Caenorhabditis elegans: one gene and its partner. The protein of the gene in region 1 purifies or fractionates together with the protein of each later gene. This does not show direct contact. Each region holds a gene or a part of one and is shown on either strand. Other genes may lie near its edges.

What was found. Proteins that work in one complex are often made in the same cells at the same time.
Region 2: the proteins of unc-39 (region 1) and suox-1 fractionate together in Caenorhabditis elegans (co-fractionation; one large-scale study listed by BioGRID). This does not show direct contact.

Annotation. Positions count from the first base shown.
Region 1 is NC_003283.11:14,368,898-14,377,860, reverse strand, and holds unc-39 (Homeobox protein unc-39), read right to left. Parts: upstream 4,788-8,963; 5' UTR 4,473-4,787; coding exon 4,170-4,472; intron 3,602-4,169; coding exon 3,472-3,601; intron 3,100-3,471; coding exon 2,750-3,099; intron 2,394-2,749; exon of another isoform or gene 2,373-2,393; intron 2,287-2,372; coding exon 2,062-2,286; 3' UTR 1,980-2,061; downstream 1-1,979. Other genes in the region: npr-43 (G-protein coupled receptors family 1 profile domain-containing protein), read left to right, coding at 1-68, 118-201, 250-424, 637-773, 821-1,053, 1,426-1,584, 1,635-1,722. UniProt on the Caenorhabditis elegans protein: Probable transcription factor required for differentiation and migration of neuronal cells, such as RID and CAN neurons. Specifically, plays a role in the terminal differentiation of RID peptidergic neurons. Also required for CAN neuron axon guidance.
Region 2 is NC_003284.9:15,494,057-15,502,862, reverse strand, and holds suox-1 (sulfite oxidase), read right to left. Parts: upstream 5,309-8,806; 5' UTR 5,308-5,308; coding exon 5,196-5,307; intron 5,149-5,195; coding exon 4,952-5,148; intron 4,522-4,951; coding exon 4,342-4,521; intron 4,257-4,341; coding exon of another isoform or gene 4,209-4,256; exon of another isoform or gene 4,133-4,208; coding exon 3,971-4,132; intron 3,916-3,970; coding exon 3,691-3,915; intron 3,644-3,690; coding exon 3,433-3,643; intron 3,362-3,432; coding exon 3,271-3,361; intron 3,228-3,270; coding exon 2,780-3,227; 3' UTR 2,584-2,779; downstream 1-2,583. Other genes in the region: tbh-1 (Tyramine beta-hydroxylase), read left to right, coding at 546-626, 675-1,198, 1,255-1,372, 1,820-2,181, 2,230-2,509; gob-1 (Trehalose-phosphatase), read right to left, coding at 5,920-6,069, 6,649-6,791, 6,838-7,324, 7,488-7,757, 7,808-7,909, 8,225-8,317, 8,367-8,425.

The DNA of each region.
Region 1 (8,963 bases):
TCTTCTACCAACATCAGGATATGATTCTTATTCTGTATGGAATACGGAATAGCTTTGCCATGTCATCGGTATGCAAAATTTAAAAGGAAATTTAATAATTTTTGATTTATTTTTCAGCCGATGCTAGTTTGCTACATCACATACATCCGATACAGAGTTGTCAACAATCCACTCAAATTTGCATCACATTATGGAAGATCGGTAGTGACACACATTTTGTTTTCAAATTTAAGGAATCATATTTTTTAGAGAAAATCAATATCTGCAAGCAAAATGAGCACAGCTGCTCAGCCATCTTCCACAGAGTCGGCAAAGTTCACAATTTCATTTCCAGCCGAAATGTTCTATGAATTTCACACCAGAAGCAATGCTGGAAAAAGAGGAGCAAATTTCAGAAGATTCTTCAGACCATTTCTAGTTCCAAGTATGTGAAAAGGGCAACAATTTGAAAGTTTCGGAAAAGGAATGAAAAGTGAATTATTCAAAAAGGAGAATCCCGAATTTTAGACCACTCTTCGTCATAATAACTAGTGTTGCATACTTAATTGATAGTTTAAAATACATTATTTTTGAAATAATTTCACAAAATTCACTAAAATTTCTGTTCTCTCTGAATATTGAACTTAATACTTTCAGTCCTTCTGGTAATCCTCTGCTTCGTCATTCATAGCACTTCCTACTTTGAATTCAACCTTATTACATGCTTTGATGAAGTTCATCAGACTGAATCAAAAATGCTCCAGATGACACAACTCAGAGGAGATTCTTATTGGGTACGTAACCATCTATTCACTCTATTCTATAAATCCCATTGTTTCAGTATTTTCAATTCAAAGTTGCCCTTACCATGACAACAGAGACATTGGGACCAATGCTTTTCATCTCCACGCTGTCATTGTTCACTGAATACAAAATGCATCAGAATGTCAAGGAACGGAGGAGGCTTTTTGAGAGTCAGAAGAGAAGTAGAAACACACTGGTGACGGAGGAATTGAAGGATAAAGCATCGAAGGCGTTAGCTGTGTTCATTGTTGTCAAATTTCTGATTTTGAGGTGAGTATAGGCTAGAACTTCAAACTTTTTTTGGCCACTCCAAGTTTGATCCCAAAAGTGGGAACTTGGTTCAAAAGGTGGCAAAGCTTTTGCAAGAGATGTAGAAACTGTGCGTTGTTTAGACCATACTCTATGTTTAACTCAAATATGATCCAACTATTTCCAATATTTTGTCCGAACTATTCTGTGTTGTTTAAACCTAGAAAGCATTGCCAAGAGTTGAATCAAGCCTGGGCTGAACTTGAAGTGCGGTCAAAAAACGTCATGCCAAGTGTTTACCTTGAGCAAGAAATCATCGCCAAATGCCAAGACAGTACTAATTATTTTGTTACATAACATAAAAACTTGGTAGCTCAAATTTTCAATTTTCAGATCCCTGCCAACATTGATTGATCTCTACGAGGTTCTCATTGAAAACAGTATAAACTTCGGCCCATTCATGACAAAAGTCACGCGAATCTCAGACTTCCTTGTCATTCTCAACTCGGCAACCAACACATTGGCCTATTTCGGCAAAGTTCGATTCGAAAAGTGAGTGTATCATTGAGCTCCGAGATTCTAAAAAATCCTCCGATTTTGAGGTGTTTCAGATGGCTGGAACGAAGGATTCGGTGTCGAATTGTGAAGAAGGAGGCGAAGGAGATTTTGAGCACTTCACTTACTGGATAGATTATATAGTATGCCAATATCCGACATCTACGAAGTTCTAATATATTTTGTTTCGGGGTTATTTGTGATCTTGCATTTTGTCTCTATTTATTTATGTCCGCAATATGTGCTACGGTTTTTTGTTTCAATAAATTTGTTTTTATTTTTTCAGTGTTTCAAAAAACCTTGCAAGAAACCTTGAAATTCTGATATTTTTCCAGATTCTTGAATTCAGATTTAAATATCAAAAAAAAAATTATAGCCTGGCAAACTTCTAAAAATAACAGTTTATTCTTTTTGCACTTTTAAAGCATTTCAAATATACAATGGGTAAATACTTTACTTTTATTTTAAAAAAAATTACGGATTGAAAGTGAATTGATCATTATCAGACTGACTGTCACGTAATGTACCATAGATCATGTTCATATTGAATGGAGCAGCTGCCAAGTTAAAGCTTTGCGGAGTTATTATTGGAAGAAAGTCACTGCCACCATTAGTGCTGCTCGAGCTGGAAGGTGGGGAGCATTTGGCTGAATTGTTCGATTTGTCCCGTTGGCGACGGTTTTTGAACCAATTTGAAATCTGAAAAATAAAATTGAAATTTGTTCGAGATTACTTTACCATGTACTAATTTACGCTCCGGCTTTTTCAGATCCTATTTTAGTTTGTTCTACCATAGAATCCTTGTAATCACACTAATCTTCTACTCGAAATTTGACAATAAAATGAAACAGATAATTTATGATCCTTACAATTTGACCTTGCAGATCTTATAAACAAATTCTTTCGGAGAAGCCGTCTGCTCAGTTGCGACTAGTCGGCAACTGTCTTTTCACGCATTCCTTTTTACAATCATTGTTGGAAAAATATAAGCAAACTCAACTCAGACAAGGATAGCACGCAAGCGTTTACGACTTGGCAGCTGGTAATAAGTACTGTACATAGTCAGTTAAAATGTGAAAAGTTTTACCCAGGGATTCTACTAACTTCTCCTTAATTTACTGACTAAATAAGCAATTTTGAAGTTAATATTTTTCTCACAAACCTGTACAATTTTGAGTCCTGTTGCTCTTGAAATCTCTCTTTTCTGCTCCTGGGTCGGATATTCAGAGACGTTGCGGAAAAATTGTTTCAAAAATTTCCTACTCGAATCCTTGAAACTGTACACAATCTCCTCACCATCCCAAATTGTTTTCGGAGCCGGAAACTTTCGTCTCAGCCGATATTTTTCCACTGGATTCAGTTCTTTGCCACGTTTCAGCTGACTTTCCTTGTACCTTGCATGATGCCAAATATCTTGTAGATCATTGTAATGACGCTGTTGAAAATGTCGATTCGAGAGAAGGTGGAAGAGTGTCTCGAATTCATTGGAATGATATAAGGCATATGTGTAGGCTGAAATTGGAGAATAGGGTTAGATGGAATGGCGGGTACTAAAAAGAGTCAACGCAATAAATGGTTTGGAATTTGAGAAGAGCAGGATATAACGCAATCGAATGAGGTATTATTCAAAATCGAGGAAATTGCGTTATTGATATAGAAGAACTAAAATACATAGCAATAGTGAGAGTGTTGACAGCAGATATTACCGCAGTTTTTCAAGTCGGAAGGATTACGGGAGCAACTTTTTCTGCTATAGGATATTTTTTAGAAATTTCTTATAGCAAAAAATGGATCAGTTTGAAGAAATGAGTCTTTGTAAAGTTCTATATCAGATACTTGCGGAACAAAGTATTTTCAAAAATATCACTATCTAATCAAACATACCTACGATGATAGCTTCACTTCGCAAATGATCTACTGCATTTGGTCCGTACAATGACTCCAACTGCTTGAAGAATGCTACCAATCGATCACCATCTCTAGCTTGAAACAGGGATGTGGAGATTGCTTCCATCTAAAATTGTTGGGAATAAATTTGAGTTTTTAGATGAAACTCAAGAATCATAAAAACTACAGTTGATCTATGTGCATGTTGAACATGTTTTTAAAAAAAGTTACTTTGAGACAGTTATGAATATTTAAGATTTCACAAGTTTTTGAATGTATTTTTGACTTTGTGAAATTTGCGGTAAGCCTGTTAGGTATACACATCTATCACCAAAAAAATTTGTGAAACACTAAACTTTCAAATTCAACGAAAATTTTGAGAACATTAAAAGCGAACAAGTCGGCTTGTGATATGGCTGGCAACCCGGAAGTTTTGTTTTTCAAGTGGTACTTTTTCGAGAATTCATTCCACGTTCTAGACTTTTTTATTAACAAAACACAGCTTCCAGTTATTACAACAAGTCAACTATCATGGAAACTGTCAAAAAACACCTGAAAAAAACACCGTATCGTCCAGAGCCAGGTTTCCAGCACTAAACTGTGACATTTCGAAATAGTTAGACTTCGAGTAGAAACCTTTTTTTCAAGTTCTGATATTTGATTTCCCTCGCTAAAAATTTAATACCACAACCAACCTGTTCCATTGAATATTCGGACATTGTGCACCCAAAAGCTGGAATAGTCGGTGAGCTGATTGAAGCAGATGCCACCGACGGAGAAGGAGTCGGAATTACAGAAGACGGTGTCAGAATATGAGACGAAAGCTCGTAGGGCGGACCTCCAGATGATGAAAATTGATCCGAGATGTGAGAAGGCGATGTTGAAGAGTTAGAGGTGTTTGAATTTGAAGATGAAGTGAATGTATATTGAAGTGGCAGCTGATGTTGTTGATAACAATCGAAATATGAAGAAGTGTCAATTGGCGGATGGTCTGTCATGAAATAAGGTGGAATACTACTCATCTTGCAAACGTTCCTAGAAGACCAAATGGGCGGGGCTAATCGAGCAATATTGTGTTGAGGGGTACGGTACAACAGTCCAAGAGGGGGAGGCACCTGTAGAGCTCTTTTGGGATGAGGTGGTGGGAGGGAAATTTGTGTTGAGGATTAATTATAGGCGAGAATAAAAGTGTCGAATTCGAGTAGCTTCTCGTTTGAAATAGGAGCCCTCACGTTGTTAGGAGGTGAGGATGGGCCTCTGCAGATATTAATTGGATGATGATTTCCGGACTGACTCCTGACAGTATGGCTGAGACCGGAACGAAATGACGAAGAGGCTGAAGTTTGAAAAAATAAGAAGAGCTGAAAAGAAGAAGAAGAAATATGGAAACAAAGTGCAGTCTCAGATTACCTTTCCTTTCATTGAGACTTTTGAATTTTTAAGCAGCCAGTTAATAGCTAAACATTCTCGTTTTGTCGTGGAATGAGGGGATGAACATTTTGAAAGAAACATGGGCTCAGATTACTGTAGTGAATAATAAGATACACATTTTTGGGAGAATAGTTTTGAAATTTTTGTGGGCGTAAATGAACTTGAAACTTGCTCGTATAGTTAGAAGAAATAAAACAGTGTTACTTGGAGAACTGAAATGTATTTTTTTCACTACAAAACTTAAACTGATCTCATAAGACCGAATTTTTATACGAATTCTTCAAAATTTCACAAAGTTTTAATCATTTTTAAAGTTCAAGTGGACTGCAATAAAATAGGTTTTAGCTATAATTTCTAATTTTCACAGCTTGTTGACAGTGACCGGAAATTATCTTTTATACAATTAATTCTATATCTTGCTTATTTTGGTTATTTATTTTGAGTTTTTGTTGTTTTTTTATAATGGCTAAGTGTGCACAAATTTTATTACCTTTCTTGCACCCACTTAATTTAACCGCTGCGACACGGACCAACTGGGAAAATTGAAAAGTTTTGAACCGTCAAAAAAAATTGCAGGAAGGTTTCAAGAGGTCTCATTAAGAAATTAATTTTTTATAGTATTTAATTGGGTAATAATTAATTTTTCGGTAGTTTTGAAGAATTTAGAGCAAATAGAAATATTGAAACTCTATTTTTATATTTATCAACATATGAACTTCGAGAAAGCCGGCTAAAAGAAATTCCAAGTGTTTTATTTATAGTTAGTGACTTCAATTAAAAAAGTACCCACGTAATCCAATTGATAATCATGTTCTCGTTTTTCATCACATCTGTCACCAATTTCTACAGTCCTCAACAATTGAACTGACGTGCTCTTTTCTCCTAGCAAAACATTGATTGACGAGCATACGGTAGTCGGTCAATAATGCAAAGAGGCGTATTCTTTATACCATTTGCTTTCATTAGTAGTGTACATCAACTATTCCTCTTTTGTAGATTTGATATTGGCTATTTATTGTCACCATATTTTACCTAATAAAATTACATCCCCATTGTTTTATTTTGACAGTTTATATTTCGGTTTTCTTTGGTTTTAGTTAAAACAAATTTTACTGGTAAAATGTAGAAAAAATTGTGACAAGTATTTTGTCAGTTGACAAATTTTTGATAAAACCAAAGTGAACCAAGATATAAAAATACGGGATATCAGATAAACTGATAATTACATTGTTTTTTCTAAACTTTTGTAACTTTATTTTTTGTCGTAAATTCGCAGTTGACTGTGGGTGGTACTTATGCTACATTCCCATTGTAAACTCTTTTTTTACATTTCAATTCATGCAGTATTAACTTGTATAATATGTTTTCTGATGTATCTATTATCAAAAAATGTCAACTGACGAATCATTTTTGAACATTTTAATTTATTTAGCTTTTTTAAAATTTAGTTATACCATCAATCTGCCCAATGAATTTGCTTCAGAGGTGAGCAGAACTATAGCCGGCGCATCGGAATAACTACGGAGTTTGGTTTTACGGATACTTGTCGTATTCGTTGCCTGTTTTTTAGCTGATTCGATAGTTTCGGCTTGTTCCAATATCTGAACATCGTTTTTTTAAAACCAAATTAAAACTCGAGAAATTACTTTTGAAAAACAGGGCGCTCGGTTTGCCATCCCTATTCAAGGCTTTTACAAAATTTGGTACTTTCAAACAAATGCAAAATGCTGATTAATATTGTTTGATGAATTATAAGGAACAATAATATCTATTGTTGCAAACAATACCTCGAATTATGGGGAATTTGCAAATCTGCTGCAATATTCGACACTCTTCAAATTTAGTGTCATAACCATATAAGTCATAAGTCACCAGACACCCACATACTCTATACAGCTGTTAGTTGAATACGTTCATTGTCTGTAATTAGATTCCAAAAACGGTCAATATCTGGTCATTTATAGCACCTCAATCGACTACCACGTGGCACATAATGTCTGGTTGCAGATGGAGAACAATTTGTACTTCCTGCGGATCCATCTGCTCTCGTCACCAATTTGGGGAGTTGGAGCAGCAGTCAACACCTTTCTTATCGAAACTGTAGATCAGATAACAATCGCAGGTGTTAAAAGTATATGATCTACTATTTAAATCTGAAATTATTGTAATCCTTCTGAAATTGGATACATTTTTTTAAACACGATTTGAAATTTATTTGTTCAAATGTTTCTCAATTGATTCGAGTTTTAAGCGTTCAAAATTTCTTGATAACGTTAATTTTTTTTTGAAAACTGAAAATTTACAATTTCAACTTGAGATTTTGAAAATTTTAGGAGGTTTAAGTTTATTAAATTACTTTTTATTCACATATGGGAAACCATTACCAATTGAACATATTGTAAAGGGACCATTATCTACAAAAATACCAAGTATGTGTTATTGGCAGCTGTGTTCTAAAATTTTCAGGAAAATGAAGACCCCCAAATCTGGAAAAACTGAATTTCTTTGTGTTTCTATTTTTGTCGCTCAGGCTTTTTTCAGTTTTAAAGATCCAGAAGCTCGTGATAAAGCTGAAACCCTAGAGTATACTCAGAATTAAAAAGATTTCCGACATTATACATAGTTACTTACAAGTTTTTGATTGATACAGAAGTTTCCAAAAAGCTTTCAGAATGTTTTCCTATCCTTAACCACTTGTTAAATTGTAAAAAACCTGCAAAATTATATTTTCTGTGCTATTTTACGGGCATTGAATGTAGTGAAAAAAAAACTATTGAATTCAGATCGTCTTTCCTTGCTCTTCTGAGGAAAGTTTTGTAGTGGCACAGTTTAAGAAGACTTCTTCCCATTTTTCATAGGTTGGAAGTCCATAAGTGAGCAGAAAAATGCTGAAACCTTTGTGATTTTTGATAACACATTTTTCGATTTATTCGGTATGACTTTACTGAATTTTTTTGAAAAACTATTAGAAGTAACTTTCCAACAAAAAATAATGCAATTCTGCTGCATAATGTTGCTCTTGGATTGTCTTCTTATGAACTTTCATATACTCCCCATCTATAACAGCTAATTTTCAGCAATGACCACGTGGCAGGTGTTGTCAAAATAGTTGCACCTATAACGTATATTTATACATCTCCAAGTATCCTATTAGCACAGACCAGCTGCCTTGAACGGCGGACCCCTGTTGTGTGAAATGAGCCTGTCTTCTCCTTTTTCCTTCCACGCTCGTCTTCCTCCTTTTTCGCGGATTAACACAATATGAAAAGTTTGCTCCAAAATGCTCGGTACACTGGAAGAAAAGGGGTTCCGTTCCGTTGATGCGATAATTGTGACGTGGCACTTAGGGGTTTCGGATGGGAAGTGGGCGACGAGACGAAGATTTATGGGTTAGTACGTTTTTCAAAAAAAAAGAAAAAGAACGGCACGGAGAGTGTAGATGAAATATTGGAGTTTGTGCAAGAGAGATGGGATAAATGAGAGAGTGCAAAGAAAAAGGTCCCCAGTTCTTTTTTCGGGCTCTTCCAAGGTCTATATGAACTTCTGAACTCTGTGTCGATTAAAAATTATATATTTAGATATCGATAGGGAATGTCGTGATCAACACTAGAAGCCTCATTGTATCGGAGACGAAGCTGCAAACTGGAAAACCTGAAAAACTTTGAGAAAATTCTTTGAGATTTTCCCACTAGATTTGTCACACTAGAAACTCAAATAAAAATTTGATACAACATCTCGTGGCCCTCAACAGTAAAAAAAAGTTTTTTGACAAGACAGATAGGAAAAATCTGAAATTTTTGTTAATAATTTTTACATTTATCGCCGTGTCTAAAGTCACTTAAAATTCTGAAAAACTATAGCAAGCTGTGATTTTTAAACTATATCAAAAACTGCAAGGCTTTTTCAGATCTGTCAAAGTTCCCCTTTTTATTGAACCATTCGAACCCCTGAACTCATCATCCCTTATCATCAATTCAATTCTTTTATGTCTGGCGCCCCCAATCGTTATCAGTTGGCAGTTCGTTCTCTTCGAACCTCCGCTCCACTATTTCTTTTAA
Region 2 (8,806 bases), on another chromosome or scaffold:
TTTTTTCATGGCACAAACTGACTTTTTTGAGATGCAGAAATTACTGTATATTTTAGTAGGGCTCCCAGCTGAGTAAGGCGCGAAATGGGGGCCGTACGCCGACGTTGCGCGCCGCTGTGTGTGTGCAGCAAAGTGTGAAATGTAGTTATTTGAAGTGGCCGACATGTTTGAGGTTTCGCAGCTTGGCGTGAAATGAGTAGCTTGCTGTGTGCAAAACGTAAAGCGAAGAGGTAGTTGTTTGGAAACGGCCGACACGTTCGGGGTTCCGCGCCGCACTATACATGCGGCGACCTCATCGGAGCTCAGCCCTACATTCAAGTATAACGTCACTGTGCATTCTTGGTCGTTTTCATGTTGATGTTGCTAGATTCTGGGTTTACGAAAATTGAACATTTTAGCTAAGTTAGGCTAAAAACAATTTCGAGAAATTTTTGAAAAGATTTTCCTAGTTTACGCAAATTTCAATCTTTTGAAATTGTGTTTGTTTTTTCCAAATGATCATTTGAAAAATTGTCTTCAATTTATAACTCAAGTCAAATTTTTAGCCAGGAACCACTCAATTCTACATTGCCGCTTCCTGGGGATCTACGAATTTGGTAGATATTCGGGATAAGAGATGGGTTGTGGTATGGAGTGACTTAGATGATTAATTCATGATTATTAATTTTTTGCAGGACAAAAAGTTTGGAAAAGTGATCGAAGGTCCAACTGATCAGCCAAATATTGAAGAAGAACCAGCCGCTCTCGAGAAAGATGTGAAAGTCGTAATTGTGAATAGCAATAGCCCGGACCCGATTCCAAATGTGGAGACCACATACAAGTGTATCATTCGTAAAATGCCATTTGACACCGTCAATAACATGTACCACGTAGTGAGAATGGAACCATACGTGACACCTGGAAATGAGCATTTGGTGCATCACATGGAGATCTTCATGTGTAGAGATGAAGTAGAAGAATGGAGTGGAAGCTGTAACGATCCAAAGAAGCCGCCAAAGTCAAAGTCATGCAGTCATGTCATTGCTGCATGGGCAATGGGAGAAGGTCCAATTCATTATCCGAAAGAAGCAGGACTCCCAATCGGAGGGAAAGGAAAGAATGCATATGTGATGGTTGAAATTCATTATAACAACCCAGAACTTCACAAAGGAGTTATTGATTCTTCCGGATTTCAGTTCTTTGTAACCGGACAACTCAGGTGTGTTTTGAAACAAATTTATGATAGGAATTTATGATAATAACAGCTTAATTCAGAAAATACGACGCAGGAATTATGGAACTTGGTTTAATATACTCCGATGCAAATTCAGTACCACCAAATCAAAAAGCATGGGCCATGAATGGATATTGTCCATCACAATGCACTAAAAATGTAAGTCGTTTGAACAAATTTACAGAAAATATATAGCTATGTATACTTAAGAAAAACAAACACAATAAATCAAAAGTGGTGGGTAGTTTTCTGAAAATCTGAAAATTGATATACTTATGAAATTGAAAATTGTGTACCTAGATTGCGACTTTTATGTATTTTTGTATAGAATTCCGAAAAAAATTATAGCGATTATTTTTACCAAAAAAAAAATACTTTAAAATTCTCAAAAGTCACATTATTTTTGCTTTCACATCAAAATATTGAGGTGCTGAATTTTGCCTGCCTGAATTATTGTGTCAAATCTGATTGAGATACATTCTGTTTAGGGAGTACACAAAATTCGTTTTCTTGGGAGAAAAGTTTTAATAAAAAATTTTCAACTTAAAAAATCCGCACATCTCTCAAAATCCATACCAGATTCAACTGTAAAATCGAAATTTCCAGCTTCCCGAGGAGGGAATCAACATTTTCGCCAGTCAACTGCACGCTCATCTAACCGGCAGAAAACTGTTCACATCTCAATATCGATCTGGAGTTCGCATTGGAGACGTGAACCGAGATGAACACTACTCCCCTCATTGGCAGCATCTGCAACAGCTTCGACCAGTGGTTAAGGTTATGCCAGGAGACACACTGGTCACCACATGCGTCTACGATACCAGAAAACGATCAAAAGTGACGTTTGGTGGATATCGAATTGTGGATGAGATGTGCGTCAACTATATTTATTACTACCCAGCTTCTGATGTAGAAGTTTGCAAATCAGCAATTTCTAATAGTACGTTGAGAGCCTACTTCTCAGAACGGTGAGATTATCGAAACAAAATGCATCCAATTTTACAATCATATTTCAGACATGGTATGGATGGAAAGAGAATGCAAATTTCGGATATGTACAGCAACGTCAAGGACTGGGGAAATGGAGTTGATGAGGAGTTTTACAATGTGTTGAATGTTGGAAACATGAACATGAACTGCTTGAAATCCAACGGGGAGCCATTCGAATTTGAATCAAAAGATTCCCGCCAGAGCTGGGAAAACATGGCAAGACCAACATTTGTCTCCGGATCATTCATCACAACCAGGGATAGATTCCAGTGTCCAGCCATCAATGACATGATTAATTTTGAGTAATAGTATTGTGTAACTTTCAACGTGCCATTGTCCTTTCCTACATCATTCGTAATTAAACCTTTAAAAAATATTTTGTCATAAAACATTTATTCATACTATCACAGTTGATCTAAAAACTTCGTAACTTGTTGCAATTAAATCAAACGGGGGTAGGGGCAAGACAATACTGGTTCAAATTAAAGATTCAACTGGCCAAATTTTGAATTGAAGCAAGAAAAAATCTAGGGGAAAAGAAAACTACGAGATCTGAACGGAATTTAAAAAAAAATCTTAATCCTTCACAATAATGGGAACTCTATGCCAGGCATTATGAATCAAACCACGAACATTCCAAATACCACTGGCAGTCTCTGGTTGCGTGTTATAGGCTCTGTCTACTGCTTTCGCAATAATATTGAACTCCTTGACTCCCGGAGGAATTTTCACTTCTGCCTTGAACAATGTCCATGCGTACATGTGCTCCTGATCCTGCTTCTCTTCTTGCTCCATCTCGACACTGTTCCACGTCTCGCCACCATCGACGCTAACCTCGATTCGGATGATTCCACGGCCACCACCGCTCCACGCATATCCAGAGATGTCCACAGTTTCGTCACCACGATCAACTTTGGTATTTGGAGCCGGACTACAGATTGCACATTGAACAGGATACTCTTGGATAGATGGAACTGTGTTCCACTTCAGCTCGTCACCAATGTTGACAGCTGGGGAGAATGCTCTGAAATTGGATGGTTTGTAGGTTCTGGAGATTTATTACTAACCTATAATCTTTTTGCTGCCAATGACTATCACTTTCCTTCTCACTAACAATAATTTTTCTGAGCCATTTCACTTGTCGAGCACCAACATTACCTGAATGACTTCTTTTATTAACGATTATCAGAAAAAATTTTTTAAATAAAAGTATGTTAAAACCGTTGTACCTGGCACAATGACCCGCAGAGGAGCTCCGTGATCCCTCGGAATATCAACTCCATTCATGTGATAAGCGACAATGACTTCATCTCCACGAGCCTTTTCAATGGGAATTGATGCTCCGTAGGGTGTTCCAGTCGGATCAACATCTGCTCCTTCAAAGTGGACGTGCTTGATCTTGTCGTCGAAAACGTCGATTCCTGCGTCAGCGAGAAGATCCTTGAATTTTATTAATTAATATCTCATATTTTAAAATTCAAATTTACTCTCAAGCGAACTCCAGTCCATTCGGCATTACTGATTGCAGTTCCTTCCCACATCAGTCCTTGAACTTTCTTATACTGATTCATATCGGCTCTTCTATTTCCAGCACATTGAATCACACTTCCAATTGTATATGACTTGTACTTCTTCTTGAGCTCCTCTACAGACAAATCCACTGTTTTTCCTTTGATGGTTTCCACAGTCAATCGATGGTTTTCAGTTTTGATCTAAAAAAAAATCCAGCGTAAAACTTCACTACACACACAACCCCTTTTCACATACATCAGGAACCGGAAGATGATTTCGTACAAAGAACAGTTCATTGGGTGTGTAGAAGTGGTCGGTAAGCAGGGAAGGAGGGGTTTCGGCATTGAAGGGCTTCGAGTTACGCACGAGTAAAGCTGGATGACGTTCCGGATCATTGGAGAATGCGTCAGCGACTGGCTGTAAAACAAACACAAACATAGGTGAGATAAGAGGATAAATTGATCAATATTTTGGGTGCGTTTGTACCCGGACCCTAATTAAAATCAACCAAACTCACATTACTTAAATCTTCAAAATCAATCTAAACAAAAAAATTTGTTACCAGAATTTCATAAATCACACAATAAAGGATTGTATGCCACCTCTTTTCTACTCCATGAACTTACTTTCGGAACATCTTTTACATCAAGTTTGCCAATTCGATATCCTTCGAGAATCTCGAGAACCTCTTTTGTCTTGTGCTGTGAGTAGAGAGCCCAAAATGGGTCGACAGCTGCACCGGCGGCAAGCAGAATTTTGTCACCTCCCGGATGCATGGCAATGAAATCTGTGACATCATAGACACCCTGTAAAAATAAGAAAACTATTAATTCCAGTTTATAAACAAGCATCAATTTGGAAATACGCATATATGTAGTTTGAAATGTTCTAAGCGTTCGAAAAAAGTCCTTAAAAACCTGTAACCAAGTCACAAAACTACATTTTGTCCAGTCAGCCAAAACTGGACAGTTGAATAATTGAAATTAGGGCTCCCATGTGGGTGCCGCTTTCACGCCGCAATTCAAATTTTCAAAGCGATGCGCGGAACCCACAAAATGTCGGACGCGGAGTTTGCACCAAACAGTGGCATAGAGTATGACACTATTTGTAGCAAAGTTGACTCCACGTCCGACGCTTTTTGGGTTCCGCGCATCGCTATAAAGGTTTCGGATTGTGGCGTGAGAGGGGTGTTTTCGGGGACGACATAAGAGTCCTAATTGAAAATAATCAACTTACATCTTTGTACGTAACCCAAATCCTGTCTGCGTCTTTTCCATGTTTCTTGACCTCCTCCTGCTTGTATATCTGAAGATTCTCCAATTTCTTCTCTGACATCGTCTCATCTTTGGCGTGATCAAGCTTTGCAGTTTTCACAAAGTGTTTGAATCCGAGCACTCCAGCAGTTGCGGCTCCTCCAATATATGCATACTTGTCTAAACATTAGTTAATAGATTTTCAAGTTTTCGTGGTAGATCCCTACAATAAGAGTGATTTTCATTAGTCCTCTGATGTTCTGAAGTGGCGCCCGAAAGTTTGTTGAACTGACGCCGGTGTCTAAAAAACCGATTGAAAGATGTGCCCCGGCCAAGCATTCTGAAAAAATTTGCAAAATCTTTGAAACTTATTAGTTTAAAATATCAAGATTGCCGAAAAACAAACAATACTTTGAAAAATAAAATATCTTTTTTAGAAATTGAATTTTGAAAAAAAATTGAAACAAAAAAAACTACGAAGTTCACAAACACATTGAAAAGTGGACTGAATCAGGGGGGAAAAAGAAAGCAAAACCCGACTAGTTTTATTAAACAATTATTCGAATATGAGGAATTTTTGGTGAATGAGGGTACAATAAAAACATGCTAATAAAACCGATTTCTATAAAACAATAACTGAATTATTTGGTATTTTTACAGTTCTAATCAATTGAAGTTTGAGGGAAGAACGAAAAATGGAATATCAGAAAAAAAAAACGTCACGTGGCAGAAACTGAGAAGAGGAACAGTGAGAGAGAGCAGAGGTCGTAGAGAAAACGAGAGAGAGAGACAGGTTTCGTCGCCTTTGCTGACCATTGACCAGCGGTCATTGATTGCAAGTTACGATGGGTGGTTGAACATTTGAGAAACAACAAGTTGTCGTTGTTCTCTACCTCTCTACCACTCTAATATTTAATAGTTAATGGTTGGGAAACAATCCAATTTCATTTTTCATCCAGAGAACTCTGAAATAATTTGGGCGAACGCAGCGTGAGCAACATCTGGTGAAGAGATGAAGCAGACTCGTTTGGCGTCTCCAACAATATTTGTGATGTTCTCTTGAAGCTGCTTGTTGATATTGACAAACAAGGCTCGAACGTTCTGGAAAAAATAAGTTTTCAAGAAATTTATCTGATGTGTTTAGCATTTTAGCATTATTTCAAATACAAGTTTAATTTAATAAGAGAAATGTTTACTAGCGTGTCTACGAGGTTATTCCAGCTCACGCGGCTCACGTGGAGTCAGGCTCTCCCATCACAATTTTATCTACTAAAAAGTGCGGGATTTTTTTTTGCCAAAAAATGTGACGTCATCATGTTCTAAACAATGTAAAATCAGAGTTGAGAACTCTGCGTCTTAAAACCCGCGTTTTTCGTAGATCTAAGTAGATCAAACCGAATTGGGACATTATGACACCACGTGCAAGCTATTAAGAAGCTATCAGTTCATGAAAATGCCTACTTCGCAAAAATAGCGATAGCACAGAGAACATGCGATGACCAGTGGTTTAGGTGCCTTCGCAACGAGATATTCCCGCGCCAAAACGGTAGGCATTCTCGCGATCTTATGATTTCTTAATATGTATGATGTTGTCCACTGTTGTTTTATTGATAGCGAAAAATATTCAAAAGTATGCTAATAGTGGTTCAATTGACATACTATCTCAATTCAAAATCTTACCTCTGGATTCTCGTCTGCTGCTTTTTTCAACATCGGAACATCACTCGCGGTGTCCCCTGCGACACAAACTTTTCCAACCTTCAACGAGTCGTGGAGTGATTCCACTAAAGCAGCAACTCCATCTCCCTTGTTCCAAACAGCTCCTGTAATTCGAAAATCATCATCATAAATTTCAAAATTGAGCATTACCTGACGAATGAACGCATACTTCAATTTCTAACGGTGAACAATTTTCTAATACTAAATATTGACTGTTGGGATCAACTCGATGGATTCGTTCACGAACTGCATCAATGTATCTAGCTGAGAGGTCTTCTGGAACTTGCTTGAAAACCGTTTGAACTCCTAGGGTAAGACGATCGACTTTCCTCTGTACACCACTTCCAACCAACGCGAATTGCACAAATTCCCCTTCATGAAGTATCTCATCCAGTTGTTCACAGAGCTGCCCAATTGCAACACTTCCTTCCTCAGGAATTCCATCATCATGCACTATTCGTCGGCCGCCAAGCCACCATTCGCGTCCCCAAGATCCACTGAATAATACCGGCCCGTTGATGGGGAGTGCGGTGAGGTCTAGGATTCCAGGATGGCGGAGAGGCCCTGCGGTTAGGACGGCAAATGCTCGGGTGAAGAGACGAGAGAAGACACCCATTACGATAGCGCTGTAGGCCGGCTGAAATGTAATTTATTTCGGTTTTACTTTTTTTTTCGAAGTTATGTTTTCTCCAGAAAAAATTTGCCGTTTAAAATTTATTTTCAGTTTGAACAAATGTATTTTCAAATGTCCATTTGAGTTTACACAATTTAACTTTTTCAGCTCATTTTAAGACACAAACCTGCAAATTTGTTGCATACTGTGAGCAATAATCCTTCATAGTTCCATCCCAATCAGTGATAAACAGTGGTTTAATCCCTCCGGTGGTGCTCGTATCAATGAGATCCATCAGAAACGCTTTACACTCGGCGACCTCTTTCTCGAACCGAATTTCATCGTCCACAAATTTAGACAACAGTCCAGGTAGATCGCAAAGTTTTAGAACATTTGCAAATGAGTTGTTCTCTTTGTCACTTTCCACCGCGAATGCATCCAAAAAATGATGGTCTTTCTGAAACAAAATAATTTGGAAATAAAGAAAATGCAGCTTCAGGAATGAACCTGCAATCCTTTAATTTCGTCTTGAATGTTGATGCCAAATGTGGTTCCTCTTGAGTGAATGTCTCTGATGTGGTTTTTTGACGTTCGCTCGTCATTCATTTCCTGGAATTATTGACATTATTTTGACCGAGATGCGGAGAATGAAATTAAATGATATCGGTAGGTTTAAAATTCCATTAAATAAACATTTTAATGTAGATGTAATTAAATGTTAAATAATTGTGAAAAAGGTTGTCTTTTTAAAGTTAGCTATTGTTTTAGCTTTTGTTTAAAATTTTTTTTTTGAGAATTACGTTCAAAAACATTGTTTTAAAAACAAAATGTTTCAGTTGAGATTTCCACTCTATGAGAATTTTTTGACATATACCCGGAATTTCAAATTATTCAGATACATGGTTTCCAAGCAAAAAAACCAACCTCTAGCGTACTTTTAAATATTTGAACTTGGTCGGCTTTGATATGTCCTGTTTCGAGAATTTCATTCGTCACTGATTTCCGTGCTTCTTGCATCTTAAACAGTTACTACTTACGAATAATGTACGAAAATCTATAAACTCACCTGATACAGACATTCTTTGAAATCTTCGATAGACTGACTGGCGATAGTCATTTGTGATTCTGAAAATTGCCAAAAAATAATTCTAGAAAAGATAGAAAAAGGGCACAACACAAAGACATTATGTTCTAGACGTCGATAAGGCTATCTGATAATAAGATGATGGTGTTATGTGTCAACACGTGATATGGCTGCTTTTAATCACTCTATAGCCTGTTTAATGTGCCGTTTCTAGGTCTCATAATTTCTGACATCATTTTTGCTGTATTCTAGGCAAAAATAGTTATTCAAACAAAAAGTTGATGCCTAAAGGTTTATCTATATTAAAAGGAATTTTAAAATAAAATTAAATAATCTTCCAATAAATATTTCATCGAATTTTACTGTGTTTTTGTCTATATGTTTTATGAAAAATATAGTTAGAAACAAAAAGTGAAATTATT